Nothobranchius furzeri: one gene and its partner. The protein of the gene in region 1 purifies or fractionates together with the protein of each later gene. This does not show direct contact. Links are inferred from orthologs where the notes say so. Each region holds a gene or a part of one and is shown on either strand. Other genes may lie near its edges. The genes, in order: rnf139 and insig1.

Region 1 (16,880 bases):
TATTATTCTTTTGTCTGAAGAAAGAGAAATTACCAGTTATTTCAGGAAGCCTGGAAAATTCTTGTAGCTACGATTTCATGGGTTTTATTTTCCTTTGAAAGTTAAATAAAAAAATTGGGCATGCCTTAAGACTTTGACCTGGTTTCAATTTAAAACTTGTTTCAACTATTGTGACTGAACCACTGCAGGCGTGTTTTATATTGCATCACGACGGTGTTTGAACTAGTCAGTGTTGTAGATTTAGGGCTGCTCAGCTTTGTATGTTTAAACCACAATCATGATTTTTAATCAACGTTTTGGTCATGATTAGGGATGTATGTAGTTGTAACGTCCAGCAATGGTCAGTTATCACCTAAAAACTGACCTGCATGCCACCGGTCACCGGAAGACATAAATTCCATTTTCTGAGGTGGATTTCACATTCTACCTTCCAACATGCAACAAGGTTCTGCAAACCTTGTTGACATTTCAGGAGGAACACGATGTCAGCCTGTGTTCCCAAAGAAAGCAGTCTTCGGATAACACCGCAGGATTCCTCATGCCTCTGAATAAAGTGACTATTTTCAGCTCATATGTGTTAATCAATCGTGAAATGAATTAACAAATGTTATAAGAATTAATAATAATGTTTTGATTAATCAGTGTTTAAATTAATAAGGTTGATTAATCTGTGCTTGAATTACTGAAGTTTGAAATGACAAGTGAATCACTATTTTCCGACAGCTCACACACAGACATGTGACAATGACAAGGTTAAGCTAATATCATGACACGTAGATATTTTCTTAGCCACAAATCAGAACATCCTGTATCTGAAAAAGGCGTGACGTTCTGAAGTTTGCCTGTGAACACCCCTTAACATGGCATGTCCCGGTTGGCCAAGAATTCATAATATGAGAATATTAAAAAAGAGCTCACTAGACGGTGAGTCAGTTCTAGAGAAAGCTACGGACAGGCCATCCGTAGCAAACCCTCTTTAACCCAAAGTTTCGACAAGCTAAAAGCTGCCTACAGCTAACACAGCAAAACGATTCCTTCAGCTACTCAGAAACAGCTGTTCTGGACGCAAACGATTTCATCTATCTGTTGAGACTCAGAAACATCTCTGGACTGGAGAGTCGGTGCTGCGATTAATCTGCCAAACCTCGGTGCCCAGCAGTCATCCGACCTCCCTGACCTCCTGATCCGTGAAGAGGGTCTCCAAAGAAAGGGTGAGGTAGACACACAGATTGTGTCTGATGCCGTTTTGATAAGAACCAAATTCATAGCTTAATGCAAACCAAATGATTTTCACCCAGAACTCAGTTCTTCTAGATACAAGGTTCTGATGAACACACACCATTAAATCACCACACATCACATCCTCTTAAGATTCATCCAGCGCAGTCATCTTAATTAACTTGTCTTGTTTTAATTTATTTAGAAAATAAATTTCTTATCTTTTACAAACCTGACTCTGTCTGAATTGAGACGATGTGTGTAGGTCCCTGAAAAAGCAAAGAATCCTAGAATCTTCTGATTAAACATCCAAAGACCAAGCAGGTTGATATTCTACATTTATATAGACTATCACAGCTTACTGGTCATAAGTAAAGGTAATATATTAAGCTTAAAAGCAACAACATTTATCACTCTACATAGTTAACCAGGTAATTGTTGTTAATGTAACCAGGTAAAATAGTTTTGCCCGGTTAACTGCTTCAAGTCCTTCTGCCATGCTTGGAATTTTTTTGTGCCACTAGAGGGCACTGCTATCAAACTGTGTTTAGTGGGCAACCGCAGAAGAAGAAAGGTGCTCAAACATGAAGTGGTAAACAAAGAGCACTTCTTGGGAGGTGTTTATTCTTAGTTATTTCGTTGTTAGAACACAATAAGCCTCACATCAAGGCGCTGAGCCTGGCTGAACATGGTGCAGCAAACTGAACCGAGACCAGCAACAGCAGGAATACCTACCATTTGACATGGATGGCTTCTTTACTCCCCTCTCAAACCACCTACCTTCTCTGTATTTCTATTGACCACTCTTTAAATATAATGACCGAGTACACACTCACACACTAACCCCTAACCCTGATGAACACATTCTTGTTCCAAAACCAATCACAGAGATCACAACCAGCTACTTTCACCAATATGTTGTGTAATTTGCACACGGATTCCAAATAAGATGCGAAGCAGATTGGCTGAAATCCTTCATAAAGAAAAACCTAAATAGACTAGAAACCCTAAACTTATTCAGAAGTGACATTTTAAACATGTACATGAATCACATGTGAGACTTGTAGCTTTTTTTTTCTTACAGCTTGCATAAAAACAAAAAAACTTGGAATTTTAACATTTTTATCAACTGGAAGAGGCGCCGTTTGCACTTATGTTCAGAAGCAAAACACCAGTGAGTATTTTAAATTGTGACAAACCATTTTCCAATGTTGCTTTGGTTCCTACAGCAACCACCAAATGTAAACACATGAGGTTAATCACGTGTACATGAGAGTCCCACAATAAAATTAGGCTTCTTTGTCTTCAGTTGGAGCCATTAGGCTTTATGAATACTTTAGCTAAATCCTTAACACTTACCATATAATATCTGAGGTAGTTTAATAATACAGCGAGCATTTTACAGTGCATGTTGGAACACCGACTTCAAGGCTCGTTAGGAGCCGTCACCTTTGACCTGTGCTTGTTCGTTTCTTTTACCTTGAGCGATGGCTCTGGACTCGAAACTCTGCAGCTCCGTGAGTAAACATTTCCTCTCCTTCGGGTGAAGGCGATAAATAAACTCTTTGGCCCTTGTGGGTGAGTTTAGCGGCTCCAGGGGCTCGTTCCTCGCATGTGTTCCCATCCAGCAACCCGGCGCGTGTCGCCCTGTCCCCGGCTGCCTCTGGGTTGTTACCGGAGATTCCCTTGGTCCCGACGGTAACTTCTGCGCACCGGCTCGGAGAGCTCTTTGTAGGCAAGCCCTAAGCATCGTGCCGTAATAAATAATAAAGTCCGTTTATAACATGTAAAACCTGGTTTACTTGAGTCTCCTTCGAACGGAGGTGCGCCGCCGCCTCTCTGCTCCAACGAGGCTGGCACTCGGGCTGAAAGTTGGTCGCTGGTCGGTCCTAGTACTATAATTCGACGTCAATGAAGCATGAGTTGACGACTTTCTAAGCCTCTCTATGTAAAACGTGGCTCGAACTCCACGCAGTCGAACATCTTATCTTCTCGTGCTGTCCGAAACGGTCTCATGATCTTCTGACACTCGACGCTCCGGAGTTGGGCACATGAAGTTGAAGCTACAACCAAACACAGCTGAACAACCAAGTCCGCCGAGAGAAACCGGAAACTGTCGGTCCCATCTTTCAAAATAAACCTAGCTGTTTCCGGTCACGCTTTTCGTATTAAAGGTTGAATATGATGTCATAAAATGCTCCATTATATATATATATATATATACCCCCACGGGACGTTTAGAGGTGTGTAGAAGGATGGTACAGTATTTCATTTAAAAGTTATATTTCCATTTAAATAAAAAATCAAATTTTTATTGGGATCAGAATCACACGTGATTATGTGTTGCATTCTGGGATGTGCACAGACATGTTGATGGTCTTACTGGTGTAAACAAACCATGAAAACAAACAATGTTGCAGAGACGAAACCATATGTTGCCGAGAAGAAACCAAATTGGGAGAAAGGAAGTGTTAAACAACATGTTAAAAACCCAAAAAGGATGCAGAATATACAGGGATACATTAAATAAATACGTCAGGGACCAGTTTATGAACAGAATCAGCACTATAAAAAGTTTGGATCCAGATGAAAGACCCAAGACTGGAGCACCGACGACAACTTGTTGCCACCGCAGTTCTGCATAACGGACATTTTCAGCTATTTTGTTGGTGCAAGCGGATGTAAATGTCTGGATGAGAGGTAAACTTTTCATTTGCTGGTTTTTCTAGTAAAACAATCAAAATCGTCATTCCATAGAAGTGAAGCGGGAGAAGTTGTGTTGTGTGTCAGTGCGCCCGAATTAGCTTACCGGTATGTGTGTGTAGCCTACGTGTGTTGTGTGTGCGTGTCGCAGTTGAAGGAAAGAAATGATGTATTTAAAAAACGACGTACACCATCTGTAACTTACAAGAATGAAAATACTCTGAAGGTGATGTTTGGTCACCTTACAGCTGTGATCCAAGCAAGCCTCCAAGCAGGAAAATTAGCCCGTTTTCCCTCGCGATCATGTGTTGCACTACACAACACAGCAACTATTTACCATGGTTGCGTAATATTGCCAATCATATGAATAATAGATTCAGTTAAGCAGCAAGAACGATATTAAGCGCACTGTTCACAGTAGTAAAATGCAACAAGGGTCCATAGGCTGCCAACAGGGCGGCCGCGTGGGTGATGATGACACAAGCCCTATTTTGACAGGCATGAAATTGAGTTTATGTTAGCATCTACCAGCCAATTGAGGGCACCAGTGTGGGTTGCCAAATACAGTACACAGTCCGCTTGGCACATCAAGGCTAGCACTTTGGAAAATGGCAGATTCAGTAAGTCAAGCAGCTGATTCGGAGCCCAATAGATGTTCTAACATTAAATACTCCATCCATCTTCTTATTCAGAGTCGGTTCGTGGGGGCAGCAGCCTAAGCCGAGACGCCCAGACTTCTCTCTCCCCAGCTACTTGGGCCAGCTCTTCCGAGGGAATCCCAAGTCGTTCCATGGCCAGCCGAGAGACATAGTCCCTCCAGCGTGTCCTGGGTCTTCCCTTGGGTGTCCTCCCAATTGGACGTGCCCAGAAAACCTCACCGGGGAGGCGTCCATAAGGCATCCTGACCAGATGCTCGAGCCACCACAACTGGCTCCTCTCGACGTGGAGCAGCAGCGGGTCTACTCCGAGCCCCTCCCGGATGACCGAGCTTCTCACCCTATCTCTAAGAGAGAGCCTAGCCACCCTGTGGAGTAAAACTCATTTCGGCCACTTGTATCCGTGACCTCGTTCTTTCGGTCAATAAACATTAAATACTGTAGTAAAAATAGACTTATTAGTAGAAATTAGCCCTTACCCTGTATGATTTGTCACTGGACATGGTGCTGGCTGGTCACTTCACATATGTGCAGCAATCTTGGCCTTCTGGAAACCATATTGGTGCAACTACAACCTCCACATACTAGATGTCGCTATGGTGTTTGTGCTCCACAATCAACCTTTAAACAAACGTTTTAAAGGGACTTTACTTTGTATATATGTCGATGGACTTTACGGAATTTTGAATTTTTATGCTCGTGATTGCCCCCTCAGGCCAAATGCGTAACAGCAGCTTCAAGAGGAGGCTTGTGCACGAGGCGTGCATGCTGTACATGCACACTCCTTAACGAAAATAACAGCTGAGACAGTCCCTTGTGTGTGTGTGTGTGTGTGTGTGTGTGTGTGTGTGTGTGTGGCCCAGAGGACAGAGGACAGGAGAACACACAGCTAAATAATTAAATAATGTGGTTCTGTACCTTTCTCTTCAGCACAGCCGACAAAGGTTTATGATGGGTCAGTCCTCCTGCATGCTCAGATCATTCCCTTCCCTTGGTTGAAAAATTGTTCCAAAATGAAAGTTGAACCCACATCTTTTTTACCTGTGAATTCAATGCCGTACGGCGAGTCTCAAATAAAAATGTGGGCATCTTACTGTAAAAAAACATATCATTAATGTAAAAAATAATCTCTAAATAAACTATGTTCACATCCAGAATCAAACCTGGGTCTTCTGCACGAAAGCCCGCAGTCTTATTAGACGAGCTAAACCACCAGTGACATCTTCTGTATCTGTAACATTTATATTGTTGATGACAGCTGAAACAACGTTCAAAGAACGGTTCGGAGGGCTATGCCTGAGCGTGAACGTGCGTGAAGCAGCCTGCTCGACCCGAGCATCTCTCTTTTTCTGTGATTTTACAGAAAAACAGGCAATCACAGTAAAAATGCCAGGGCTCATTCTACAGGACCAGGGCATTGCAGGAGAATGTATGAAGAAGAAACTTATTATTTCTATACATGTTTTGGCTGTCAAACTTCCATAATGCCCCTTTAATTTAATACAAATGGAAGCCCATTCCTGCCACTGATACAAAAATTCTTGTATCTCATTGCTGACGTGGCTATCTCATAATGATGAAATAGAATCGTATGAGATAACATTTTTTTTTTATAAAAGTGGCAGTTATGGGCTTCCATAATATTGATATTAAAAACTATTAATAAAAAATTAAAAGTGAGAAATCTATACTGCTAAGGAATAAAGCATTCACAACAATCGGATTCCTTAAAGAATTTATATGTAAACATGAAAAAAATAAAAGAATATTGATTTCTGTGAATATTTTTAATTAAGAAATATATTTTCTATATAATTATCCAAGTAGACTGTAAATTACAATTACTGTATTCAAAAGTTTGACCAAAGTATGGAAAGTGGCCAAACTAAGAATGTGTCCTTCAGAAAAATGACAGAACACCTCCATCTGCTGGTCAAGAGTAAAATTCGTTAACAAATAAAAATTATGTTCTTTAATACATTTTATAATAAATTATTAGATTATTTGTGCTTGAGATTGTAATTAAAGTGTTGGTGGTGTTACAGAAAGGCCAGCATGCAATATCAAATATGCTTTTATTTACATAAATCTCTTTTAAACAAACAAAAAAGGCAAAAGGAACAGCTTTTCCCTAAAACAAACAACTTTCTGAGAAACAAAGTCAAAATCCTTCATAGCTCTGAGCCATTTAAAAAAAAAAAAAGCACAGCTTTTCCCCCAATGCTTTCTCCGAATCACCAACAACCAGTAATCATAACAGCAACGAGAATATGCAGGTAGTCAAACCCTGAAAACGTTACCACTGTGTTAGTTTAACAACATTCAGAGTGGAGCCAGCAAACATTCAAATAAAAATCTAGAAATTCAAAATGAGATATTCTAGATGCTAATGACGGGCTGCACTCTTCCGTCAAAACCGAGAAAAAAATTATTGTACCAGCAGCTCGAAACTTTAGATCAGTAGGACAGGTAATTCTGGGAAAGTGTGCAAAATCCTCCATGTAGCTCAAAATTTCAACACGTCACATCATAGAAATGTGTTTGCATTAGAAAAGTTTCTTTGAGGCCAGAATTTATCATTATTTTTTTGGGGTGCATGAGAAACTTTTTGGTAACAGTAAGTAAAAACATGAGAGACTATCTGCAAACAAAAATATCATCTCTTTAAATTACCTGACATGTAAATCAAATAATACTTTTGTTGTCATCAGCTGGCACTTTTCACTTCATTTTATACTAACCGCACTGAGAAAAAATTTTCACTTATATTTTATTCATCAGGGGAAATAAATCCTCCAATGTGGCGTCTGGAGCATCTCCAAAAGCAGCTTTTTCTAAGCATCATATCTAATTAAATCATTTCTTTTAAGAGAACGGATGAGAGACTTTTATAAATATATAATTGCACGTCTAATCTGAAGGAGAAAGTGTGCCTTTACATGTACAATAACGTACACAAGCATAAGTGAGGTCCCATAACAGACCAGTAGTGAGAGGTACATCTGCAATTACAGTAGCAAGTCAATCTTCAATCAGACCCACGCAGTAGTGGAACAAATACTGACTTCTGAGCCATAATCAATCAAAAAGTTGGAAGGTGACAGAAATCAGGGCTGATCGGTGATGCAGTTGTGAAGGTTGGAGTCCACAAAATGGTTTTAGTGCTAAAAATGTCACTGTAAACCTCAGTTTCATGAACAAATCTTGAAGACCGATAATTTCTTGGCTAACTGTTACCTCGGCTTCTTTAATTAAACGAATAATCTTTTAAAAACATAAAAGTAGGAACTCAAAACCAGTGTAATAACTTTCATTTGAATAGGAACTAATTTGAGTCCAGCACGACTGCGATGATTAAGACACTAAACACAAAAACACGCATCCTCATGCACACACACCGTTTTAATGTTGGGCCTGAGAGAGGAGAACGGAAAACTTCCTCAACTTCCAACTCAGTTTGGATCATCTGGTTTGTGTATCAAGTTTGAGTCAATCTGGAAATGTACATTTGTTCGGAGACAGCCGTGGCCATGTATGAGGACTTTCATCTGGACTTTTGTCTAGTTATGATGAAACTTTAAAAAAGAATCATGACACACACACACACACACACACACACACACACACACACACACACACACACACACACACACACACACACACACACACACACACACACACACACACACACACACACACACACACACACACACACACACACACACACACACACACACCGAACGAGAGCAGCTTTTACTCGTCTCAGAAGCCCTTTTAGAGTAAAACTCAAGAAAACGAGAGAATGACATCCCTGACTGTTTTTCCAAGAACAAATTAAGATGCTGGAGTTGTTTCAAAGTTTCATTTTTTTCTTTAACTTAAATATAATAAACATATATGTGTATTATTTTCTAATCAGTCCTCAGTGGAGTCTGTGTCATCATTGATATAGTCTTCTTCTATTGGCGTGTTGCCGTTCTGTGTCCCCCACTCGTCTTCGTCATACTCTATGCTGTCGTTGTCCCCCAGCAGCTCGTCGAGGCCGGCTGCTTCTGCTGCAGCGTGCGCCCCGGCTGCCGCCCCATTCGCCATGAGCTCGGCGCCAGGCTGTTCGTGCTGGTTTTCTCCTGCCGCAGGTTGGCCCGCAGCAGCTGGCGGCGCTGCGTAGCCCCCGTTGTTGTTTGAAAAGGCGTCCCTGTCTTGACCCTCGTCCTCAACGTAGACTCTCTGGTGACACATGGGACATGTGTCCTGTATGTAGAGCCACTTCCTCAGGCACAGGGCGTGGAAGTAATGGTGGCACGGCGTGAGGCGAGCTGAGGTGGAGAACTCCTGGTAACAGATGGCGCACACGTCCTCGATGTCCCTCAGCTGGTCCCCTCGCAACTCTGGCAAAGAGTTGATCTTCTTGACCGCGGTCCTGCGGTTGATGAAGGTCTTCCAACCGTTCTTGGCCTGCAGATAGATGTTGAAGTACGCGTGCAGGCACATCATGCAGGCGCGGATCTTACTGCCCGACTCGAACATCATCGTGTAGGCGCCGTTGCCGAACATGATGACGCCAAACAGGAACTCAATGATGTTGCCTGTGGAGCGAACGTAGTAGACATAGTCGTCCAGTTTTTCCCACAGGACGTTGGAGAATCCATCAGCCATGAAGAGGCCGTAGACAGTCAGGGACACCACCACCTGGGGGGACAAAGAGACGAGCACAACTAATAAGCATTAATGAACCAAACTCAGGAACCTCCACACGAAGCTGAACACTCGTCTCATCGTGATGTCACTAAGATTCGATGGCACGTCTGCAGAAATAAAGGATATGAGCACCAAAGTTGGGCAATGTAGAAAAATCTTTTATGATGGGTGATTTTTGGACTTTTTATGGGTCTGACGCACACGTAGGGATGGGTACCGAATTCGGTACTTTTTAAGGTACCGACCGAGCATCGATTCACGTCGTTTCAAACGGTGCCTCGTTTCGGTACCCGTCCATCATAACGAGAACTTGCCTAGACAGCTGCGCATGCACAAGAGCGTTATGTCGTCGGTCACTGCGAGCCAGTTGTAAACAGAGCAGCATCGTAGAAAGAACGCACGCTAAAGCTTGGGTCCACTTCACTAAATGTGATGGGTAACTGGGTGATGATGAAACCAGCGACAACGATCTAAGTGAGACATCCTCATCTTAATCTGCTCCGATAGGTAAATAAAATGTTTAAGATAACGTTAGCTTGATTTGTTAGCTTCCGTTTGGCTAATGGTGCATTCGCTTTCTCCTCGGAACTCTGAAATTTCGACTAGAAGAACATGAACGCGCTCTAAAGTTTGGCTTCACTTTACTAAATGCGACGGGTGATTGGGTGAAGATGAAACCAGCGACAATGATCTAAGTGGGAGGCATCATCGTTTTAATCTGCTCCAGCAGCTAAATAAACTGTTTAAATGGCCTGTATTCGATATAGCGCCTTCTAGAGTCCTGGAACCCCCCAAGGCACTTTACAACACAATCAGTCATTCACCCATTCACACACACATTCACACACTGGTGGGGATGAGCTACAATGTAGCCACAGCTGCCCTGGGGCGCACTGACAGAGGCGAGGCTGCCGAGCACTGGCGCCACCGGTCCCTCCGACCACCACCAGCAGAAGACGTGGGTTAAGTGTCTTGCCCAAGGACACAACGACAGCGACAGACTGAGCGGGGCTCGAACCTGCAACCTTCCGATTGCGGGGCGAGCACTTAACTCCTGTGCCACCGTCGCCCCACGTTTAAGATAACGTTAGCTTGATATGTTAGCTTCCATTGCCACCATTGTTATCAGCTAATGGTGCGTTCGCTTTCTCCTCGGAAATTCTAACTTCCCAGTAGGAAAAATCAAATGAAAAAGGACGGCAAAAGGAATGAAGATACACAGTAAATTTAGTTCACAGTAAAGATGTTTGCTTCAGTTTAATTATCAGCTTATAAAACTACAAGGACGATGTTAAAATACAAACAGTTGTATGTTATTTATCGTGATATTTATCAAATATGGTTATAAATTGAGAAAAATATATATTTAATTATAAAAGAGAATTAAAATATTAAACACTCAAAAGTATCTAAAATTGGTACCGTTAAGTACCGGTGTCGATTCCTAGGTACCGGGAATTAGTACCGGATCGATTCAAATGTCAAAGGTACCCATCCCTACGCACACGGCATGGAGCGACCCATCAGTCACAATCATTCATCAGTTTGTGGAAGCAGATCACAAAGGATCCACGTGAGATTTCTTGGTTTTCAGAATTCCATTTGCTATTTGATGAGTCAATCAACAATATGTGTTGCAATTGGTACAAGTCACACAGCTGAGGACAGGGGCTGGTGCTCTTGGATCAGGAGGGATGTCGATCAGACGTTTGAAGCTAATGCTGAAAGAGATTAGGAAGAGAAAGAGAGGCATGCGAAGGATATTTTGAACGTTTTCAGCGGTGCATTATGTTAGAATGTGGACGTAAGACTCGTAGGACCAACACATCAATTGGACCGTAAATGTAAAAAGACTGTTTTGTTCAAGATGGCTGTCCTATCAGTGACATGAAGCACCGTAAGTGAGGAGGTCAGTCAGAGGAATGAGGTGGCTGTGCCAATTCTGCTGTTCAGTATAAAGTGATAGGTCGGACTAAAACCTCGGGAATCAGCTTGTTGTGTTTCGCTCTCACATGCAGTTTGCAGCTGTATGAGGCACGAGTTAGCTGGAACTGGTCAACGTTGCTGCTATGAAAACATAGTTTGATTATATGTAAATAGTGTCAACACAACCATATTAAGTCACGTAGGGCTGGGTGATACAGCCTAAAATCAATATGACGATATACTGAGGGTTTCACCTCATTAACGATAATGGACGGTAACTACGGGTATGCGCAGAAACAAAAGCTGTCCACTAGATGGGGCTGTCGCATGTATTACACTGAGTAACGTTTTTACATGACTCACGGTGGTACGGCTTCTTAAAGGGGCATAAATGTTGCCAACCTACACACATCTTTTCTTTTATATTATAAAATTTATTGACATGGGAAAAATTATCTCGATAAGAGTCAGAAATTTCGAAAACGATACATTTTTGATGTATTGCCTATCCCTAAAGTCATGTTCATTTGGTTAAATGTAAATACTTTAGGTTGGTTCAAATAGTTTGGATGTGAAAATGGGGCATAATTTTTTTAAGTGAGGTTATTATTTTTACAGTGCATGAATAAATGACCGGTTATCATTCAGGGTATCTGCAGGTTTAAGGGAGCCAAATTTAAGACTTTTAAGATGTTTTTTTAAGGCCACTTTGACCAAATTTAAGCAGTTTTTTAAATTAAATCTAAGCTATAATTTCCAGCTATTGCCTGGAACCGGTGCCAACCACGTCACGAACATGGGATTAGCCATCCAGCTACCATTAAACTTGCACTTCCCCATGGCGCAAGCTCCCGCTAGCTTAACCAGCTAATGTGCTCATCTAAAAATAGCCCCCTTTCACAACCAACTGAAGGTGTACGGTTCCGCTCACGCCAATATCACACAAAAAATGCTGAACACTAACTAGACATTCACGAAATTTTTATAGACATAAAAGAATCTTGTTTATTGGGTCTCTGGTAATTTAAGACCTTCGGAAACTCTATTTAAGGATTATTAGTCATTTTTAAGGCCTTAAATTTGGAAAAGCAAATTTAAGACTTTTTAAGGACCCGCGGATACCCCGTCACTAGTTAGATTTGGTCTTCATTTATGAGGAATGGTGCAAAAGCCTTTAACATTCATATTTTATTAATCACATCTTTTGGACCTTTCACAGTTAAAATTTAGGCTTCACTTGTGTTGTCTTTAATTCCATGGAAATCCAATCTTAAAGTTGTTTGGATTTCCTGATGAATCAGAGTGCAATAGCACTCAAAAATGTTAATAAAGTATTCAATATCTGACATTTCTTTATATTTGATTCATTTATTGTAGGCTTCTTAAACATTTCCCACAAAATGTAGTTTTATTACACAAAGACATTTGCTAAACATAACAACGTGTGCCGACACCAGTAGGGCTTTTCCTTTTTAGGAGGTGGTTTTGAGGCTCACCTCGGTGTAACATAGTTGTTGTGCTGAGTGAGAGAAATTCTTAAAGCTGCAATTGAGCTGATGTTATCAGGGTATCTGCAGGTTTAAGGGAGCCAAATTTAAGACTTTTTAAGACCTTTTTAAGGCCACTTTGACCAAATTTAAGCTATTTTTAAAATTTAATTTAAGCTATAATTTCCAGCTATTGCCTGGAACTGGTGCTAACCACGTCGTGAACGTGGGATTAACCATCCAGCTACCATCAAACTTGCACTTCCCCATGGCGCATGCTCCCACTAGCTTAACCAGCTAATGTGCTCATCTAAAAATAGCCCCCTTTCACAACCAACTGAAGGTGTACGGTTCCACTCACGGCAACATCGTACACAAAAAAATGCTGAACACTAACTAGACATTCAGAAAAACAAAAGAATCTTGTTTATTGGGTCTCTGGTAATTTAAGACCTTTGAAAACTGTATTTAAGGATTATTAGTCATTTTTAAGGATTTTTAAGGCCTTAAATTTGGAAAAGCTAATTTAAGACTTTTTAAGACTCTTTAAGACTTTTTAAGGACCTGCAGATACCCTGGTTAATGAAAGTGTAAGATTGTCACAAACATAAAAAGCTGCAAAACTTTCCAAATCTGCAAATATGCATGTTTCTTGTGCTACTCATTACCATCTCCCATTGGTTTTGCACTTTTTAATATACACTTAACAAATATGGTATAAATATACATTTACAAAATGCACACACAAAGATTTATCTACTTCCACGCTCACCTTGAGGCAGAGCTCCACGCAGAAAGCAGTGACAGCGAAGAGCCAGGTGTTGAGTTCGTAGTGATGCCAGAGGGCGTGGCTGAGGACCACGGGGAGAACAAAGAGCCCCACAGACACCAGCAGGACGGGGAAGTGGCGTCGAAACGAGGAGACGTGGGAGGCGCTGAGAGACATTAGAACGGGGTCCGTCATGCCGTGAATAAAGTGCAAGATGGCCGTCAGCAGAAGGCACATGTTTCGGCTCAGCCGCACCTGCAGGTCAGAGACCTCTCAGTCACAAATGTCATAAAAGTGACACAAGGTTTACCCAGCTAACGTGAAATACATCAAATCAGAAGGACCTCTGCTTTCCACGGGACGCAACATACGCAGAAATTAGCCGCCGTTATAGCGGGTCGATGCATTTCCGTTGGCCGCGAAGTGTCACGCCTCTAAAATTACACTCCGAGTTTATTTTTTTACACGCCGTTTCCAGAACACAATCTAAAAAAAATCCAGAAACGTTCTAAATAAAAGTCAGTTGCACATTTCCTGTTGCGTAACTAGTAAATAAAAGAGTGTCAATACCTGTGAAACCTCCGTAGCTGAGCTAAAAATAAACCACAGACCTTTCTGGATACACACGGCTGTCTTCCTCCTCGCTTTTTATCAGACAAACTGCCAAAATAATGCGTGACCTTGCGATTCTCCTGTGGTTTCGTGACCTTGCATTACCAACTTCGGCAAATTCTTTCATTGCTGCTTCGCGACCAAAATCCTCCCGGTGGAGCCGAACTTGCGAGTAAGATGCGTTTTTTTTACTTTACGTGGCGCTGACTTGTCTGGTGGAGAGCCAGGTTGGCTGCAACAAGCTGCAGAGGCTTACCAAACGTTCCTCTGGATCCAGGCTGCTGAGGCCGGTCTGCAGAGCCAGAATGAAGAACAGAACAGGAGCCACAAAACCCAAACGCTTATCCTCTTCCTCTGTCGAACCTGAAATGTCAAAGCAAAATGCTCAGATTTGACCCCTAGAGTCTATATGCAAACCTCTGTGAATAAAAAAGAAAGTGTCTAATACCTATGAAAGCCAGGATGCTGAGGCCGAGGTAGTGTGCCACAGAGGAGATGACGGCGCTCATGCCTAGCACAGTCAGCGTGGAATCACAGCCGGAAATGATCAGGTTACTCGTCAAGTCCCAGAACACGTCCCAGCTCAACAGGTAGCCCTAAGAATGAAACAACCGCACAAAAATGAGACATTATCTCTAAAACACATAGTTTTAGTGTAAATTACCTTAAAAAAGAGATAAAAAGCATTTTAAATCCTCATATGTAGCTAACCTGTGCATCAAAGCTCACATCTGTTGCGCCTCCTGTGGCATCCCCGCTCTCCTTCCTCACCGCCCGCACCACATAGACCAGTATGAGTGCCTGAGCGGTGATCCTGGTCAGCCAGAATACTCGCAGCACGTCCGGAAACCGGATTCTCTTCCACGTGTCCTCTAGCAGCAGCTGGAGTCCATAGATCCTGTACATGTGCCGCACGAGCAGGTAGACATACCGACATGAGTAGTAGAACCATTTGAGCCTCATGGCCAAGCAAACGGCTGTGTTGAGCACAAGCACCAGGCCCGAGAACACGGCCACCAGATGCCGGACATCAGCGGGAAGCTCGATCATCATCCCCCACAGAGGGATCATGATGTCCAGGACAACCAGCGCGGCGAACACGGACTGCAGGTTGAGCAGGAACACGTAGCCGATGCCAAAGGAGAGCTGCACCGCAGCCATGCCAAGCCACAACGTCATTCCGTTTCTAGGCAACAATCTGAACCCCAGCGCCGCTTTGTAGTACGCGCTGTAGAAGTCTATGTGTGAGGCGGCATGGTAGTTAATGAGGGCTGCCGCCACGCCGAGGAGCACGGCCAACAGGAGGGTGTAGAACTTGAACAGGGCTTTCTGGGAAAGCAGCAGCACCACAGTGGAGATGAGAACACCTGGAGCACAGAACAGAGCAAACACACAATTAGAAATGATTAAAAATGTAAATTATGCTCCATATATTTGGCATTAATCAGTATTTGTGAAAAGAAGATGTTTATTTACTGGTTGGTACAAGAAAATGTCTGATTCTCTCAAATGAACAAGTAGCACAAACGCAATGCTCCAAAATTTTGTGGCACGTTAAACTTTCTGATTTGGAGATCTGACATGGATTTCCTTTCATTGTACGAATCTGGCTAGCTGATACAGTTTTAGGTCAATTCTGGTTTAAGTAAACAACTAAAATTAGGAATAGACCAATGACTCAGGCTGAAATTTATCATTTTTTATTTAAATTTAGTCGTCAACCAATATACCGTAAATCCTCTAATATTAGCCTGTATTTAATTATCATATTTTGGCCGGTGTCAGCGGAGGTGAATAATGGCCGGTTTTTTATTGTGGCCAGGTGGAATGTGGTAACAAGCAAGTACGGGAGGCGGTTGTGTCATCCGTCTCACTTTTGATTTGCCAGTGATAGACTGCGAGGGTAAATTTAACCATGCGGAGACGAAGAGGAGGCGAAAATTTGATATCAAGTTCAAAGAGAACGTGCTGATTATGCTGCAGAACACTCTGGGGAGCAGTAGCAGGGGTTGTATGAACTAGTCACTAGTCGACTTCACCGCTCTATAGTGACTTTTTATGCCTGTCATCGACTAGTCGCTGTCACGTGATAATGACCGGCAAGATGCAGTCCACGGAAAAGACAGCAGCCTGCTGTCAGCAGGTGACAAGCTCCTGCGCATCGGGAGGCAACGCGCTGTGCCAGAGCGTCGGTACTGACACCCGCCATAAAATGGACATTTAACCAAGTTGTGACCTTTACCCTCTTGCAATTTAACCTTCCCCTCACCCCCATCCTAACCTTAACCAGCTTGCGCATGCAAAGCTCTGATTGTTGACGCGCTCCAGACATCTGCGTCCTGAGCACGGCCACAGTAACATTATCAAATCAGGTGTCGCCACCTCAAAAACTAATTTAACACGCGATCGTTCATGTCGGCTCATTTCCTTTTATGTTTTCTGTCTTTTATGCTTTTATTTGTGCCTGATGCCTTTCGCTGCTGTGGATCGGGGCGCATCACCTGTTTTGTCCTCGGTGACGCACCTCACTGATGTGGCCAGCGAGCACTCCGCTGTTTTTGCGGTCGGTAGATCTTTTAGAACTGCAGTTCAAAGGTAACTCATAAGGTGAATATATATGAACCCAGGTAGCAGTTTCTCTTTAGGATTGAGAGGAGATGCAGGAAGATAATAAACAGACAGGACAGAAAAATAGTCAAATAAAAACAAGTTAGTTTTTGTACCTGGTGGTTGCAACAAACAGACACCATTGAAGGTAATCAGAAGTGAGGAACAGAAAATGAAATAATTATTTTAATGTTTAGAGCAGCA
Region 2 (17,321 bases), on another chromosome or scaffold:
CGTCTCTATTTTCATCCGTTTTTTACCTCGTTGTACGTCTTTCTGCTAGAGTTCAGTCCATGTGGGGTTTCTCACACCCACCCTGAGGAGAAACAAACACATCCAGCATCAGAAATCACATCTTTGGGTCTATTGCTTACATTTGAATATTTAATGTCAACAGGCCCATTTTCACTGTCGGAACTAATTTTACCAGACCTTAATGGCATGCCCGTGTCACCAGTTCATCCGGCGTTGGCGCCGTTTTAACATAGTCAGAAAAGCCAGAATTCTTGCAGCTTTGTGATCTTCTATAGAGCGCCGTAAAACCTGATCATTGAACGCCACTTTTTACACAACAAAGCTGCTCTTCACATCCCCGAATGAATTAAATAACGGCATACTTTGATCGAATAAAACATTTAATGTCAATAATGTCCGTGGATGCCTTTTGGAGCTGATCTGTGACGTCACCCACGGCTGAAACTTTTGCAATATTCAGACGTTTTGGCAAAATCCTGAAAGAAACGATTTTTTGAGGAGAAACAGCTGAAAGGACGGAGCCATCGTTTTGTCCCCATCGCTTTCCTTTGCCAGAAATTTCCCAGAACCTCTACGGTGGTGACACAGGTAAAAATTTTTCCTTTGACGAGATTATGTTCCTCCATTGAAACAGTTAAAATATTAATATTTTAAAAAGTTTTTGTCAATTATCCTGCTTCTAAATGGTTCTATTAAGTTCTAATAAAGCTGTTTTAGTGTAACAGTAAAGAACCAGGTACACTGGAAAACTAAAAATACAAGCGGATTTTCTCTCCGATACTTCTAAACACGATCAAATGGAGCAAAAAGGGGGGATAAAATCTAAAGAAAGCTTCGAGTTCAAACTTGTGCCAACATTCCTTGGGCCTCTTCACAAAAAACAAAACAAAACAAAAACAAGTAGCTAATGACCCTCTGGTCAGCAGAGTCTGGACTGGCTCGGAGTCTCGCCACGACTGTGAAAAACAACAGCTCCTAATCTGCTTTCACGCTTTCCCTCAGTCAAACCGAGAACTCGTACTTCACAGGCGGAATGAGGTGGGGCTTCCAGACAGACGCTCAATAAAGACATCAAAGCCCACTTCATGGGATAATTATGAAGGAAGAGAAAATGCTCTTTGCTCACATGTAAACCATTCCACAATCTTATCTGCTGTGGCGGCTCAGCTGGATAATTATTAATAAAGCAAGTGTGATGAACAGGAGGCGTTTGAAGTCATTATTTGTTGTCGAGGAACGCAGAAACTCATAGAGATAAACGCTGAGGGGTCTTTTCAGCAAAGATGTCTGGGGGAAAACTTTCCAAAGTATCACAGAGATTCAGTGTTTACTCTGGAATTTTGACTTGGCAGATGGGGAAAAGGTGCTGGACTGAGATCAAGAGAACGGAGAGCTGTTCTGTTAAAACCAAAGATCTGGCAGATCTGCAAATGGTGACATATGCGGCCTCGGATTGGTCGGTATTAAGCTGTCTTTTCTGAAGGTGGATGGCATTGTTGCTAAGGCAGGAAGAGGAGGGTCCCATTTTAAATCTGACCTTATAGGAAGCAGTAAGGGTGTACTGGCAATAATCTGGTTTGTAGCCTCCTGGTGGTTGTTGCATTGTTATGTATTGCCTTGTAAATGTTAATAAAGGCTTTGTAAAATAAAAATTGGCAAGAATCTTGCAATACGATATAGATCACAATGACAGGTGAGACGATCCAGTTTATCTCGAAACTAAAAGCCAAACAACGTTTGTGATTTTTAGGACCGAGTTTAATTGGGGAACTCAGGTCAGGCACTTCCAAGACACTCCAGTATTTTGCCATAAACCAGGAGCGTGTCCAGGGGGTGGCCTGGGGTAGCACATGCCAACCTTGGAATCTGATTGGCCACCCCACTGAATTTCCTTTAAACAGACTTGTCCACCTTGTCCTTGATTCGGAAAAGGGTAGAATGCCTTCTCCGGGTCAGGGGTGAGGTCCTGCCCCAAGTGGAGGAGTATCTCGGGGTCTTGTTCACGAGTGAGGGAAAACTGGAGCGTGAGATCGATAGGCGGATTGGTGCTGCATCTGCAGTGATGCGGGCGTTGTACCGGTCTGTCGTGGTGAAGAGAGCTGAGCCAGAAGGCGAAGCTCTCGATTTACCGGTCGATCTATGTTCCTGCCCTCACCTATGGTTATGAGCTTTGGGTAGTGACCGAAAGAACGAGATCGCGGATACAAGCGACCAAAATGAGTATTCTCAGAAGAGTGGCTGGGCTCTCCCTTAGAGATAGGGTGAGAAGCTCGGTCATCCGGGGGGCTCGGAGTAGACCCGCTGCTTCTCCACATTGAGAGGAGCCAGTTGAGGTGGCTCGGGCATCTGGTCAGGATGCCTCCTGGACGCCTCCCTGGTGAGGTTTTCCAGGCACATCTAACTGGGAGGAGACCTGAAGGTAGACCCAGGACACGGCAGAGGGACTATGCCTCTCACCTGGCCAGGGAACGCCTTGGGATTCCCCCAGAGGAGCTGGCCCAAGTGGTTGGGGAGAGGGAAGTCTGGGCCTCTCGCCTTAGGCTACTGCCCCTGCGACCCGACTCCGGATAAGCGGATGAAAATGGATGGATGGAGACTTGTCCACAAAAAGCTTGGGGTAAAAAAGAAAAAGCATAACCATTGGTGCCACTTACCTGGGCCACCCCATTTTAAAAGATCTGGCCACGCCACTGCCATAAACTTGAATATATAAATACCTCAGTGGGGGCTGGAGAGCGTCGCTATATTAGGTGGATTTCTCACTCTCCAAACCCAACTGGAGTCAATACAGGTTGAGCAAATATGCCTGTCTTTTGTGCAGCCTACTGTTGCAGCAACAGGCGCATTATTGAAAAGAGATCATCTGGGATTTCTACTGACTTTTCTGGCTACCCGTTGGGATTTTACATTTGAATTTATTTTCTATCCATCCATCCATTTTTGGCCGATTATCCAGGGTCAGGTCGCAGGGGCAGTAGCCTAAGTCGAGAGGCCCAGACTTCCCTTTCCCCATGCGCTTGGGCCAGCTCCTGCGGGGGAATCTCAAGGAGTTTCCTGGCCAGCCAAGAGACATATTCCCTCCATCGTGTCCTGGGTCTTCCTTTAGGTCTTCGCCCAGTTGGACGTGCCCGGAAAACCTCACTAGGGAGGCGTCCAGGAGGCATCCCAACTAGCTGCCTGAGACAATTTATTTTATTTTATTATATTTATATTTTAACTATGATGCCATACCATATGTGTGTCTTTGTGAAAAAGGATAATAAAATGTGTGATTTAGTTGGGTAAACGTCTTCCTCGGTAAAAAAATGCCATTGGGGGCGAAAGAATAGAGATTCATCCAAGATGGCAGCCCGCTGCTACACCAGCACCAATAGGCAGCGCTAATCCACAGAGTGTCTATGTATATGATGAAGGCAGTAAAAAATCCTGCCCCCTAGCAGTTGAAGTTTGAATAGCAACACATATACAATAAATACTTGCATTTAAATACTCAATAAAATTGATACTGCCTTTGAATATTGATTCAGAATAATAAAATATTGCGATATTTCAGTGCAGCAACATTTTTATACATCACTGGGAAGCAGTTAAAAAATGGCAGAAAATGTTACCATGGCAAGTTGGCGTCCGATGTTTCCCACAGTAACGCCGCCTGAGAAGAAAATACACGGGAGCCAGGAACGCACGTACAAAAAGTCTGGAGATGTGTACCTGAAAATAGAACAAAAAAAGAAAAGCTTTTTACTTTACTTCTCCAAATGAAGACATTTCTGGTTCTGCATAATTAAGCAAAGACCTTACTGAAAAACTCCATTGTAGACCAGCAGCTGTGAGATGATGGTAGCTAAGAAGGCCGTGGTGATGCCCAGACCAAACCCACTTCTGGAGCGGTCAAATGTCCACCAGAGGCCCAAAGACAAGGCCGCCAGTGTGAGGGACAGCTGCACGTTGTTGGCAAAGTCTAGTTTCTGTGTTACTGTGGGTTAAGGGCAAAGTTAAACAAGATGATGATGATGTGCTTTTGTTCAAATATTGTTTCGACCGCCTGGTTTCAAGTTCAACCATTAGTGTCAAAAGTTATTGTGTTACTCTCATCCAAACAGGAGGTGGAATATTTTTCCACTTTTCTCCAATTTTCTGGGACAAAAAACTAGCATTAAAATAAGGATTACTTAGGGAAAACATCACAAAAGGATACAACACTAGCATGGTTGATGCCAACAAACACTGCAATGCATCTCATGACGCTTGCCCACTCCCTCTTGAACTTGTGCGGTTCCCCCAAATGGCTGTCGAGGCAGGGATAGAGCAGGCCAACAACAGCTGGAAATAGAAAAAAATGGAACAAAAAGTCAGGAATTATGCAAGATAAGCACAAATTCTCTGAACTAAACAGGACACATCCTGTCAGAGCTGGTTATATGCTGACCAAGTGTTGTTTTACTTTGTGACACATCCATTCACATAGATATCATTAAGTGTTTAAAGAAAAAAGCAAAGAAATGTTCTATTATTTATTGAATTTTTTTTGTTTGATTGTGTATTTGATGAAGTGGAATACAGATACATTTTTTGATTGTGACTTTTTATTACTTTACCACATTTAAATGAAAAAAAAGAAACTAATACAGACTTTCACAGCAAAATAAAATACTTGTAGTCAACCTTTTTTTAAAATAGCTGTAATAATTTAAAAAAATACCAAAGACCAAAAAATATGTTTAAGTCAAAGACGTTGTCCAGCCTCTAGAAATGATGTCCTTTTTATATTTAAATTTTAAAAAAGTACTTTGGGCATTTAACAAAAACTAAGGTAACTTTAAATGAGGACAAATTGTATTCTAAATCACAGCTCTTCATTAAACCTAGTGTTACAATAATTAGCTATAACTTCTACAGTGAAAATTAGACACAGTCATTTTGTTTCACTTTTTTTAACGGATTAAAAGTCAAGACTGGTGAAACATTTTAAATCTGCCAGGAAATAATGTGGTAATTTCTTTATAAATGCCTTTAAAACCTAAAAATGTAACTGGTCTGAAATATCTAGCGAGGGAAGTTCTGATTTTTTCCAATTTTTGGCATAACTGAACAGACACAATTTAACCAATGATCATGCTTGACTGGTGATTTAAAAGTACCAGGACTAACCTAATCTGTTTGTTGTGCACAAAAATGAAGTGGAAAACAGCTATTTAATTAAACTAAAGTTTAACAAGCTGGAGTAAATTAAACATGCTGAAAGACAAAAAGCTAAAAGTTTTCTGCTCAGCAGCACATGGAAGGAGGAGCAAAACGCGTTTTTTCTACCTCCTCTCATTTCCGGGTTCCTGGCCTTAAAGGGGGCGGCCCTTATCTCACCCGTTATGACACCAGCTAATGAGCGAACAGCTCACGTAGACTCTGACCAATCAGAAGCCAAGAAGCTCTACCGTCTGCAACTAGTCGTGTCTTTTGATACTAGACTGCCACTCAACCATAAAAAGTCTTCCCCGACGGAAGAAAAACAGCGTTACAACAACAACAGCGTTACAACAACAACATAGTAAAGCCGAATGACAACGTATCGCAGTAGGACACGATAGAAAACGACAAATTAGAAGATTTTCAAAATGTGTTGTTATAAAGCCGCGTTTGATTTATTAAATGACATAAATGGGTGCTTACTTTAGCGTGCAAGTGCAAATAAGAATAAAATATGATTTTCCAGACTCTTAATGCCTACAAATGAATTATAAATTAAATGTATCCTCCTCGTTAGCATTTTTAAATTAAATAAATAATGCTCCACGGTAACCCCTCCCCTCTTTGCTTGTCTTTGTCCCCAAATTAGCTGTAAACTAATACAGTTATGAAGTTCACCTCCGTTTATGGTCCACTTACCTGCTCCTGTACCGCAGCATGGCGGGATCCACCAGGCAGACGAAAACAAAGTTGTCATCACCTCCTCTGGAAAAAGGGTGACATTTCTTTGTATCTGCAGCAAGTTGAGCACCAGGGCGAGGAAGACCCCAACCGTGAAGAGGACGAGACCCCTTCGGATCAGGTTGGTGGTCCTGCCGTGGTGGAGGGAGCCGTAGGCAGTGCTGAGCACCTTGGTGGTGATGGACATCATTTCTTCAGCTTTAGATGCGAACCAGCTGGCGCCAAATGAATCTTTAGTTTTAGCTTTTGGTGAACAAGGGCAGCTCCAGTAGTGGTCCTCCAGTCTGGGCATTTGGCACTTCTGAGCTGTTTGAAAGCAGATTCATTCAATTATCTCACATAAAAAAGACACGTTGAGGCAAGGATGACGCGATTCTTGGTCCTTACCTTGTTGATCTCCAGATGAATTAAGTGTCTGGTCCAAAACGAAACCTGCACTCCAGCTCATTCGAGTTAAGCCACGATCCCCGTTTTGCTTTCCTGCTGTTTCCGACAAGGACAGCCGTCACGTCGTTTGTTCACATCATATTTAGTAAACACACAGCGTTGCTTCATTCTACAGCTAAAAGAGCTCGTACCCCAAAAAGAACCAGGACTTCCACTGCAGAAAACAATCTCAGCTGTGTCTGGTGAGAGGCGGCAGCCAATCAGAGCGCGGCAGCTGATATGACGTGACACCAACGCCCCGCCCCGTCGTCCGGTTCAGACAGACTGATCAGGAGGCTGCAGGGCTGAAACGAAAGTAGAAATACTTTAAATAGCGGGAAACATGTAACTCTGGTTTTACATAACATTTAAAATGGGGTGATTAAATATATGAGGACACATTTAAAGGGACACAGTCAAACATTAACATTGATCATGAACGTTAATTCATAATCTACAAAATCAGTTTTGCAAAGTATATGGCAAAAAGTAGATTACATCTGATCAGAACAGACTAAAACCTGATAACATTTAAACGTCTTACAAAAGTACAATGAATAGAATCAAATTTTCAGGTTTTATTCTAGTCAAATGCCAGTGCTGGAGGTTTTCCATATTACATATAGTTTTCTCAAATTATCACATGAGTTTTGCATTCACTCCAACACCCATATTGGATTGGAACCCATTGAATTTTCAGCCCAGGCTAATGTTTTACACTGTGGGGTGGCAGCTGCAAAGGCGTGATCACCTACTACTCTTCACCCTAGGGACATCTTAGGTTGTTTGATCTTAATGTCCTGTCAGTCAGACCAATAAAAGTTTTGAAAACCAACAACAGGAAAAAGAAAAACTCTACTGGTCATAGAGCTAAGAAATAAAGCTGGCTATAGTGATGGTGGTCCATCCATGCATGACGTTATGGTGTAATGTAGACCAATGGTTCCCACATTTTTTACCTTCAGATAAAAAAAATGACAGATATTAAGACTTACAATATATCTTATTGAACTATACATACTTTACTAAAAGCAAGGGCATAATGAAAATTTACAAAGACAATGTACTAGGAATATATATATATATATATATATATATATATATATATATATATATATATATATATATATATATATATATATATTAGGGACACACAAAAAATCAATAAACTTGAACATTGCTACATTTTGTATGCTGGATTGATAGTTAAAAACAATATATTGATTTTAATTGAGAATTTATGTACAAACATTTACTGTATTTCTTTTGTGTGGTAAAAAAATCTCTGACTGCTAGTCATCTGTTTTTTTACTGCCTTTATGACGGAACAGTGACATCTCGCAGTAACACCAGATGTGTCTTGGAAGCATCTCGCCTGAATTTTTCAATGAACTTCAGTCCTAAAAATTGCAAATATTGTCACCCCTGTATTGTGAAATATATTGTTTTGCCGTATTTTTGTCAATACACACTCCTAACCCCATGTTAAACTCAGATTATAAATTTTAGTTTTACCTTTATACCATTTACAATAAAATATTACAGGAATAAAAAATTTTAAAGTCATGTTAGAATTCAGGAAAACATTTTAAGACCCCAGCCTTAAAGCTTTGTGACCCAAACTCTAGAAAGTCTAACAGAGGCTTTAGAGAGTTTTTCCGTTTTTTCTTTTATGGGTAAAAAATTCGTAACAACATCTCTAAAGTGCTTGTACCGGTTATCAAAAGCAGTTTTAATAACAACGATGACTTTTCAAAATGAAAATAGTTTGTCTTTTACCAGTCAGAACAGGATTCCTCTAAGATGGAGACTGTGAGTGTCTTCTTTTCTCAATAAATCTGTAGCATCTTCCAACTCAACTAATCTCTCATCACAGGAGCTCTTATATAGACATGCGTCGAAAACGGGGTTAGTAGCACATGCGTTTGTTTTTCTGATGTTGGTAACAGGTTATTGACCTCTGGGTCAGTCTACTGGAGGTGTGTCTCTTGGGGCAAGTTGTGGCGCTCCTGCATATCAGTCAGACAACATATAACTGGATAAAAGGTCAGTATTCATTTTTCAAGGACCAATAACAACATGGGTTAGATTAGGTAACATAATCTGGAGAGCACAATAACAGATACTGCATGCATGTGTTGAATACATTTGTATCCACAAAGAAATAAACTGGAAATAAAAAGCTAATTTGCTGATGAAAATGTTATTTAACCCTCCCACTGTCTTTATGGGTGACCCCGCAAGAAAAGTTGACCATTGAGCAGGATTGATGGTTTATCCCATTAGGTCCACATAGCAGGGGTGAGGTGGTGCTCACACCTCACCCCTGCCACATGGACCCAAGGGATAAACCATCAACCCTGCTCAATGGTCAACTTTCCTCGCGGGGTCACACCCATTAGGACAGCGGGAGGGTTTAACAGATATGTCATATTTCCTGCAAAACCATGAGCACCAATGACATGGATGACTGACTTCATTCAAACTGATTCACAGGTTAAATGCATGACCTGCAGCAAATTTAGTAAACAAATTCAGATAGCTGGGGAAAAAAATCTGTTTTGGGGATTATCAAACTGAGCTGCTGAAATCCCATATTGTTGCATTTATTACTTCATTATACAAAGATGCAGAGCTGAGATTGAGTTTAGCATTATGGTTGTTAGAACTGGTTTTTGGCTATCACCCAATGTTGAAGTGTACTTGGACTAAACACAGAGCCCCACGTAGCTTCAGATCCTTGTGTCATCAGTGCATGATTGGAGAGAAAAAGTGCTCCACTAACAGGTTGCACAATGACTGCCTGTAAATAGGGGATTGGGAAACTCTGCAAAGAATTTAGCGAAATTAAAAAACTTAAAAAGGCACCCACCATGCATATTAGTGTGGATCATTTATGGTTTTATGAACTAGCTATACTGGTAGTTTAGGGTTAGCATCTTGTTTAGATGATAAAACTTTTAAAATATTTTGATAACTCTAGTGTTTTAGTTGTTAATAGTCGTAGAAGTCATTCAAACAGACAACAGTAAAGCTGCTAAATGGACTTTAGAACATGTGACTTACTTATAACTACATGATATGAGTGGCTTCAAATGCAGAAGAATTGTAGCAGGTGAAAGTAATTTACACTTTGTATTTATTGGGGTTGTTTTATCTTAAACTTAAGAATTGTTATGGATACATACATTTAAATCATATTATGTCTCCATATAGGTAGCCTAAGTCATGCCCATCTACTTCCGGACCAGTGATCCCCTGAAGAATGAAAAAATGAATGCAAGTCAATGGGGCTAAAAATATTTTCTAATCCTGTTTGTTATGTGCGATGGATTTCACATATGATGTCCCTGAATTTTAAAGGTACATTCTGATCCCAAGAAAGCACTTATTTTCAAACGGGGCAAAAGTAATTTTAGGCTTTGTGTGAAAATCTATCCAGGACTACAAATGCGCGATACCAAATTGATGTCATCAAACCAGACACAAAGAAAAGCAGTGGGAAATGGCTGTAGGTTCAGCAAACTTTTCCTCACTGTCATTTGCTTCTTGCTAGACCAGCTAGGACAGTTTCACATGACTACACAAAGTCTCATGACTCTACCTCATTCAGTTTGCTGCACAGCATCTCAAATGAGTCATCACCTGTTGCTACCGTAGATATCTACATCATAGTCTTTTAGGCTCTAAAATTATTTGTATAAAAAAAAATAAAAACTGCTTTTCTGACCCTTTTTTTGTAAAGAACCATTTTCTCGCGACAGCATGCGCGATATCTGCCGGGCAGACATTATAATATTGCAAATGAGGGGCATGTTGATTGGTGGAAGGAAGCAGGGGTGTTGACACTGTAGGTTTTGCTTCAGTATCTCTCTCCAAAATAGCATCCCTGTGATGGACAACGTCCCGGCATGCATACACAGTAGTCTAACTTAGCCTTACTGTTTGAATTTCAGGCAAGTATCTCAGTGTTGAAATGGCCTCTCTTTCTAGACAAATCCTTGATGCCATCTTCGCCTGATATTGCCCCAAATTTATAAAGCATTCTGGCTTAAAATAGTTAGCATAGACGCTGAGACTAGTGGGGAGAGTTTCGGGAACAGCACTGTTAAAAATAAAATTAATCCACTGGTCCCTGGCAGCTTGGTTCAATTTTGGTAAAACAAACACATGTGTGGAGTTTGGCAGTCAACAGCCACCATGGTAGTCAGCAGCTCACATGTGAAACTCCCTTAGACATTTTTCCTTTTCTCAATTTCAGTAATGGAATTACTGCAACTAAATTTGAGGGAAGCGTAGCTGTGCGTGGTATAGTGACATTGCTCTGTGCTGTCCACATATGGTACTGTACATCCTGCCTTAGTGACAACATCGAGGCCAGAACTCAAGATCTCGTTTTGGGCAGGGGCGCCTCCAGAAAATGTTGATGGAGTGGCCGGATGGGGCCAAAGAAATCTTTGGGGTGGCACACCAAATTGGTCCTTATGGTAACGCTGGGAGAATTTAGCTTGTGGCGATGTACTGCATTGCTCCTTTATTCATTTTAATTAAAATAACTACGTATCCAAAACAGTTAACTTAAATTTTACAAACACAAACATTTCAGAAAAATACATTTCAGTTATTTAAAATGTTATCCATAATTTAAATGAAAAATTTATATTTTTGTAGGTTAATTCACCTGTTGCTGTGTTAAAAAATAAACTATAGAGATAAAAAAAAGTTAAAATGGTGAGCATGAGAAACATATGTAATTATTTAATTCTGATTATTTCTTTACTCATTAATTGTAATATTTTAATTTTGTTTTACAATATGTCTTAAATAAACAAGATCAATTTATTGTTTGACTGAACATTAACGTTATTTGTTAACACTGGCTTTTCCTGGGGGGGGGGCATGGCCTCCCCTGACTACCCCTTGGGGGCGCCCATGGCTTTGAGGTGCACGTGAGTTGGTTGATGAAGCCAACAGTAAAAAACGATCCAAAGTTAAATATCGGCTTCCCAACCAGTGAACAATCATTAGGATGCCATTACATAATAGGAACATTGGCAACCTACACACACCTTTTCATTATTTTTTTTAAATTCGTAATATATTTGCACTGGTAAAATTAAGTCAGTAATAGACACACTTCTATGGTGTCTGTAAACGTTCGCCCACCTCTACTTTGAACACTTAAAGAAGGTTTACCAAACATCTACACAGTAAAGGAAATGAAAATGTCATAATATTGAAGGCCTATCACTTGACACAAAAGTGAAGATAGATGACACTAAAAAGAATCTTTTAAAAAACTTTGACCAAGGTTGGGATTTGTGGCTTCTCTATTGTTAGCATTTGCTTGTGGAAAAAGAGGAGGGTTTTAGGCTTTGCAACATCACTGCCCGAGACAAAAATGGGTTAGGGTTAGGGTTATTTTCACTTGCTAGTTTTTACAAGCTCAGTTACTCCCCTATGTAGAAGACCACAGGTGAAGGACATTGTCTAGCTATTCCACATCCAAGCAATGGTTTTTCTGCAAAGACACTGACAATTTGGGGAACTACTGCCACCTATAGGATTAGAATGCATATGAATGTGCTTCACAATAGATTAAAAATGCTTAAAATAAGGTGGTGTGGACCCAAGGAGGATATTCAGTTTTACAAAAACGTGGCTACGTGTACGCTACCTAAAAGTTTCATTGTAGTCATTCGTTTACAGATAAATTAATACACACAAAAACATTATCAACCACCAGGTAGTGTTATCAAACCCTTGTCAGGGCAGCCTTTCTCATGCCTTTTTAATTGTCTCTCTGCCCAATGAAGGAATTAGTGAAACCATGACACATGAAGATGATAAAAAATGTAAAAAAGAAGCGACTCGCTACAAAACAGACTTCCTGTAAGGTTACAACAGCAGGCTGGGGACCAGTGTTGCTGTTGACAAGCCTGCAAATGAAGTGGTGGCAAATCCATACGAAAAGGAGCTTCCTGCGATCAGTTCTAACCATGTCATGACACAATTTGAAAGATAAAGCAGCCTTTTCAGCCTCACTGGAGCAGCTACAGAAGGACATTTTGAAAGTATTACGTCTGCAGACTGCACATTCAAACTGACCGATTTTAAATTGGTTTCACTTGGAGTGAATGAGAAAAGTCATCTCTAAAATGGCAGCGATAACGGGGTGGTTAAATATAAATGTCACAGCTGCACTCCACTAGAGCTTTTTTCACTTTTTAAGCAAAGAAATAAAGCATGAAAGAACGTTGAGGGCTGAAAAGTTAGCGTTTGTCTCCCCAGTTTCATTTCTTAGAGCTCGAATAAATAAACCATGTCTTACGGGATGACGACGATGATGAAAGAAGGAATGTATTTTTAAGCCAAAACAGGTTTCTTGTGGCATTTTTTTTCTTTCAAAAAGATGCTTGGACACAACATCGTTGATCTGTAGGCTGGAGACGACAAAAGCTGCAGTCCATAGATAATGACATCAGTCATATTCACTCCATTCTAATTTCAGAGAGCCATGTGGTTTACAAAGATAAATCAGCAAAGCCTCTCGTGTTTTTAAAAAGGCAAGAAAAAGGAGGTCAGGAAAGGAGATGGAGAAGGGTGCACCAGAGTTGTGAAAGTGCAGAAGCAATTCAACAATGTCAATTTCATCTCAGCGTAGAGTCTCAGTTTCCCAAAATGAATGAGTTCTTAACGATCCAGAGGCCTCAGGATAAAAGCCTACAGCAGTGACTGTGTGTGGGTGTCGAGAGCGCCAGTCTTTATCGTCAACAGGAAGATGAAATCTTGGAATAATTTACTATAAATCTAGATTATCTCACAGAAATTAATGGAAAACAGGCCAGAATCAGAAGGTTAGCTTACAAGGATAACCATGAAAATGCCTCAACATAACGCAAACAGCTCTTAGCAACCATCAATGTTGGGGAGGTCTTCGCCACATCAGCAGATAAAACAGGAAGCGACGACACTTCAAATGAAAAGCAGATCAAGCGTGTCATAGATGACGCTGTTAGACTCAGAGGGATTTTTGCTGTGGGAACGAAGAGGGAAAAGCCCGCTGGAAGAGTACGCAAATTGATCCATCAAACTCAAGCCTGACAACCCCCTCCACCTCAAGCCTGTGTGAAATTATGAAAGGAAACATCCTAATCCACCCTCGACGGATAGTTGATTAAATTGAAAAAGGTTTAGGCTTTTTTCTGCTTATTCCCTCTTCATCATGTGTCATGAAGCATGGCATTTATTCCTGTCCAAAGAGCTGAGATACACATTTGAAATGAATTTAAGCCATCAATGATATTTTCATGTCATTTCCAGCATCAATTGAAATTTTATTGCAAAATTTGCTTTATTTCTCCACAACAACACTGCCTCCCTGCACTGAGTAGAATTCTGAGGAACAAAGGTCGCCTTAAAAGTGCTGTTTCTGCAGCCTGAGGGTGTGGCACCAGGTTTCCATCATGGTATCTCTTTGTTCTTTGCCACTCGGCTCTGAAATTGTTTCAGAGCTGCTCAAACACAAATACTTACTATCCCGTAAAGTGTAAGCTGTAGACCAAAACAGGGTTTCATTCTCAGTGATCTGCATTTAAAGTGAAAAATTTAAGGGAATCGTACCAAATCGAATTTATTTTTTTAAAGTTTCATTGACTTTCATGTAATTTTTAAGTTTTTTTGTTGTTTTTGTTATATTCTGAAATTTGATTTTTGTTTGTCTTGCCCAAATGTTGATTTATTTAAAAAATATATATTTTACTTAGCTAAGTCATAATAATGAGATACTATATTGTAATTATGACTGAGCTATAATGAGATACTATCTCATAATAATGAAATACTATTTCAATATTATGAGATACTATTTCATAATAACGAGATACTATCTTTGGAAATGGGCTTCCAAAGTATGGGATGTTTCCTGAGTTTTTCGTGTGTTTTGGGAGGTGATTTATGAGCTTGGTGTTGTGTTTTCTGAAGAGTAGTTTATGTTGCCCTAATATTCTCTGAAACTCTTGTTTATTGTTGTTTTCCCAAACATTGTTTTGTGTGTTTTGTTAAGTGCTTGGTGTACAATCAGATGTCAAATTTGTGTCTCCCCAAAGGGTGAATAAGTGTTGTAGCTTTTTCTCAAATGTGTTTAGAAATATGGGTTTCACCGTTGCCATTCTCTTTCTTTGCCATCTTTGTTCTAATTTCTTTTAAATACATATACATCATCATGTCTTTAGATCTATTTTATTCTATAATTTTTAAACATTCAGATATTTTGTACAGCAGTTCATTATTTTTCTAACTAAAATAGGTTTTACAGAGCTAACAAATGCAACAATGACATTTTTGTTGCAGGGCTTTTGTGTCAAACTGCTGCAGGTAGAGTTTGTGATTTTCCTGCTGTGTTTGTGTCCTGTTTACATAAAGCTCCATTCATGCCAGCTATGCCAGAAGTGCTCATGAACAGCACAGCCCCAGCAGCCAATGAGCTTCCTAAATGACCCCCAGCTGTCAACTCAGATGTCATTTTCAACCAATCACAGCAGCTCCCTCGGTGGGTGCGTTTGTGTGCCTTTGGGAGGGTGGAGAGAGGTAGTACGTGCTGTAGAGTGAGTTAGTTAGACGTTGGACAGTGATCCTAAATTATTCGTCACATGTTTGTCCTGAAGCAAAGCAGTACAGAGACAGAAATGAGTCACAATGCTGACGACAGACTGATCTCAGAGCTGCTTTATAGGCGGTGAATAACAGGACAACTCAACATGAGCGCACCCATGGGTGGCTGTGGCGAGCAGATTGCATGACTAATAATTTATTTAAGTCTTTGGTTTGACTTGTCCTGCTGAGAAAGGCTGCCTGGCCTTGGTGATGAGAGACAAGCGCTGTTACAAGAAGAAAAGAGAAAAAAGTTACTTTTCTTTATCTCATTTCTATAGTTAAGATGGAGATCATCACACCATGTCATTCATCCATCCATCCATCCATCCATCTGTAACGTGAGGAAATATGGGTTTTCTATCACAAAGGTGGTGTTGGACTCAGCTGTGTCAAAGCTGGGTCGCTGAGAACTTTCACCCACAGATTAAGACCTGAACGCCAGCGAGTCTGGGAGGAAACCATAACATCAACCACCTGCAGTCTACCAGAAGATGTGTTTACATGAGTTGTACCCAGACCAAGTCAAAACATAAAGTTTAAACTTCTTTTTCTTGATTTTAATGTTAAAATAACCATTATCATTTTGCTCATTATAAATGTGTTTAATCAAATGAATGGTTCTTATGCTTTGGGGTAATTATAATGGATTAATGAATCCACACTTAAGTAGATAATGTTGAATGTGTGGTACTGACCTTCACACTCAAGCACACAAACATTCACACACACCCACACACATCTTGCCCACAGTAAACTCCAGACACATTTGATGACGCACATGTTTTGCTTTGAGAAGAGAAAGGTTTTTGGTAAGTTTCAGTCTTTTGTAGTCAGTTCGTGTTGGACAACGAGAGAGAACAGACCTGAAAACCAAAGGGGGGGCAGAGCCTGTTGGCTCGTTCTTCCCCCCTTTCACGCTGTTTCTGCCACGCCAGGCAGAATAGCTGAATCGCAACTTCTAACGCAGACTCATTACCGAGTCTTTTGATTTCTGAGTGAATTAACTTAAGAAAGCGCGTCGACAAAACGCTTTACCATCAACGTGTACCGAGGACAACTCTGGACCGGGTCGCAGCGCATCTTTGTCTTTTCTGCCAGCCAAGGTGCCCTGGATGAAACATCCTAAGGTGACGCCCCGGATCCGAAAGAGGGTCCAAAAGAATTCGGTGAGACAGAACACGGTGTTTAGCGTTTTGATGCATCTTTTCCAACTAAGAGCCTAAGTTTATTCAAACCATCACTTTTCACTCAGACACCTGGTTCTTCCTGAAGCAAAATCAGATGCACTCACGCACCCATCCCAGCTCATATCACTCTCACCATCACAACATTCTCAATCTTCATAAATTCATCAGAAGGTCTATTTGAGCCAGAACAGCATATCAACTGTTAAAGAGATTGTCCCACAAAGTTACTAATGTTGATTGTATTTCCTGTTTGTCAATTTCAAAATCATTAGTTTAATTTGAAGAATTAAAACTTTTAAACGTCAAACTGGTTTCCTCATTGAACTGAAACACAGACACTCAGATATTATCGGCAGTTTATGGATGAAAACAACCTTTGAGTCTTCTGAACAATATAAAATTTGGTTATTGATTTATTAAAATTAATATTCCGAATTAATACGTAGCATGGTTCCTCTTTCATAAAAGAGCATATATCCATAACGCTACATCAATGGCGAGCCAGCCAGGAGGACTTCTATATCTGCGATTTATCTGATTTCTTACATCTAAAAGCTGCAAACAACGCTTTTCTCTGTGTTTCACTTTGATGTCTTATTTTGAAATTAACCGGAAATTGTTCCGTTGAAGTCACTCTTCCGCGAGGCGTCGTCCTGGTGGAAACTTGGCCGGGAAGATCTCCGATCTCAAATTGACCGCAAATTACAGACCTAACTTTGATTTATCCCATCTTCGCCTTCGGAGCGAACGTGTGAGTTGTGCTTTTGACTAAATTCTGTCCATTTTGACGCGCCGCCGCGTCTCCAATCTAACCTCAGGTCGGAACGCTCCGTTTCCGCTCTGATCATCGCTGGGTGGGCTACCGTGCAGCTTATCCTCAGTTCCTAAAATTATCACTATATTCTCCGAACCTCAGAACCGTGACTGAATTCTCGGACACCTTTCGTCTCAGTGTGTTGACACTGTGGGCGAGCTATTGTGAAAGAAGTTTCTACTGCATTCAGATTGCGTGCGCTTTTTGAACGGAATGCTCGGTGACACCTGCCGGAGCTTGACTGCTCGGTAAACGTCGTAAAGCGAGGCACAGCCGTTACGCGTTACTGCATT

Evidence for each region.
Region 2: the proteins of rnf139 (region 1) and insig1 purify together in Homo sapiens (affinity purification with western blotting, with the first as the bait; 3 studies listed by BioGRID). This does not show direct contact. The link is inferred for Nothobranchius furzeri from reciprocal best matches to the Homo sapiens genes RNF139 and INSIG1.

The regions. Positions count from the first base shown.
Region 1 is NC_091759.1:12,628,855-12,645,734, forward strand, and holds the end of rnf139 (E3 ubiquitin-protein ligase RNF139), read right to left. Parts: intron 15,437-16,880; coding exon 14,781-15,436; intron 14,666-14,780; coding exon 14,518-14,665; intron 14,433-14,517; coding exon 14,326-14,432; intron 13,713-14,325; coding exon 13,461-13,712; intron 9,267-13,460; coding exon 8,493-9,266; 3' UTR 6,636-8,492; downstream 1-6,635. Other genes in the region: tmem65 (transmembrane protein 65), read right to left, coding at 2,698-2,968. UniProt on the Homo sapiens protein: E3-ubiquitin ligase; acts as a negative regulator of cell proliferation through mechanisms involving G2/M arrest and cell death.
Region 2 is NC_091747.1:47,848,780-47,866,100, forward strand, and holds the start of insig1 (insulin-induced gene 1 protein), read right to left. Parts: upstream 8,267-17,321; 5' UTR 8,152-8,266; intron 6,678-8,151; 5' UTR 6,525-6,677; intron 6,430-6,524; exon of another isoform or gene 6,427-6,429; 5' UTR 6,395-6,426; coding exon 6,334-6,394; intron 6,253-6,333; coding exon 5,905-6,252; intron 4,345-5,904; coding exon 4,220-4,344; intron 3,990-4,219; coding exon 3,823-3,989; intron 3,733-3,822; coding exon 3,633-3,732; intron 83-3,632; coding exon 53-82; 3' UTR 1-52. UniProt on the Homo sapiens protein: Oxysterol-binding protein that mediates feedback control of cholesterol synthesis by controlling both endoplasmic reticulum to Golgi transport of SCAP and degradation of HMGCR.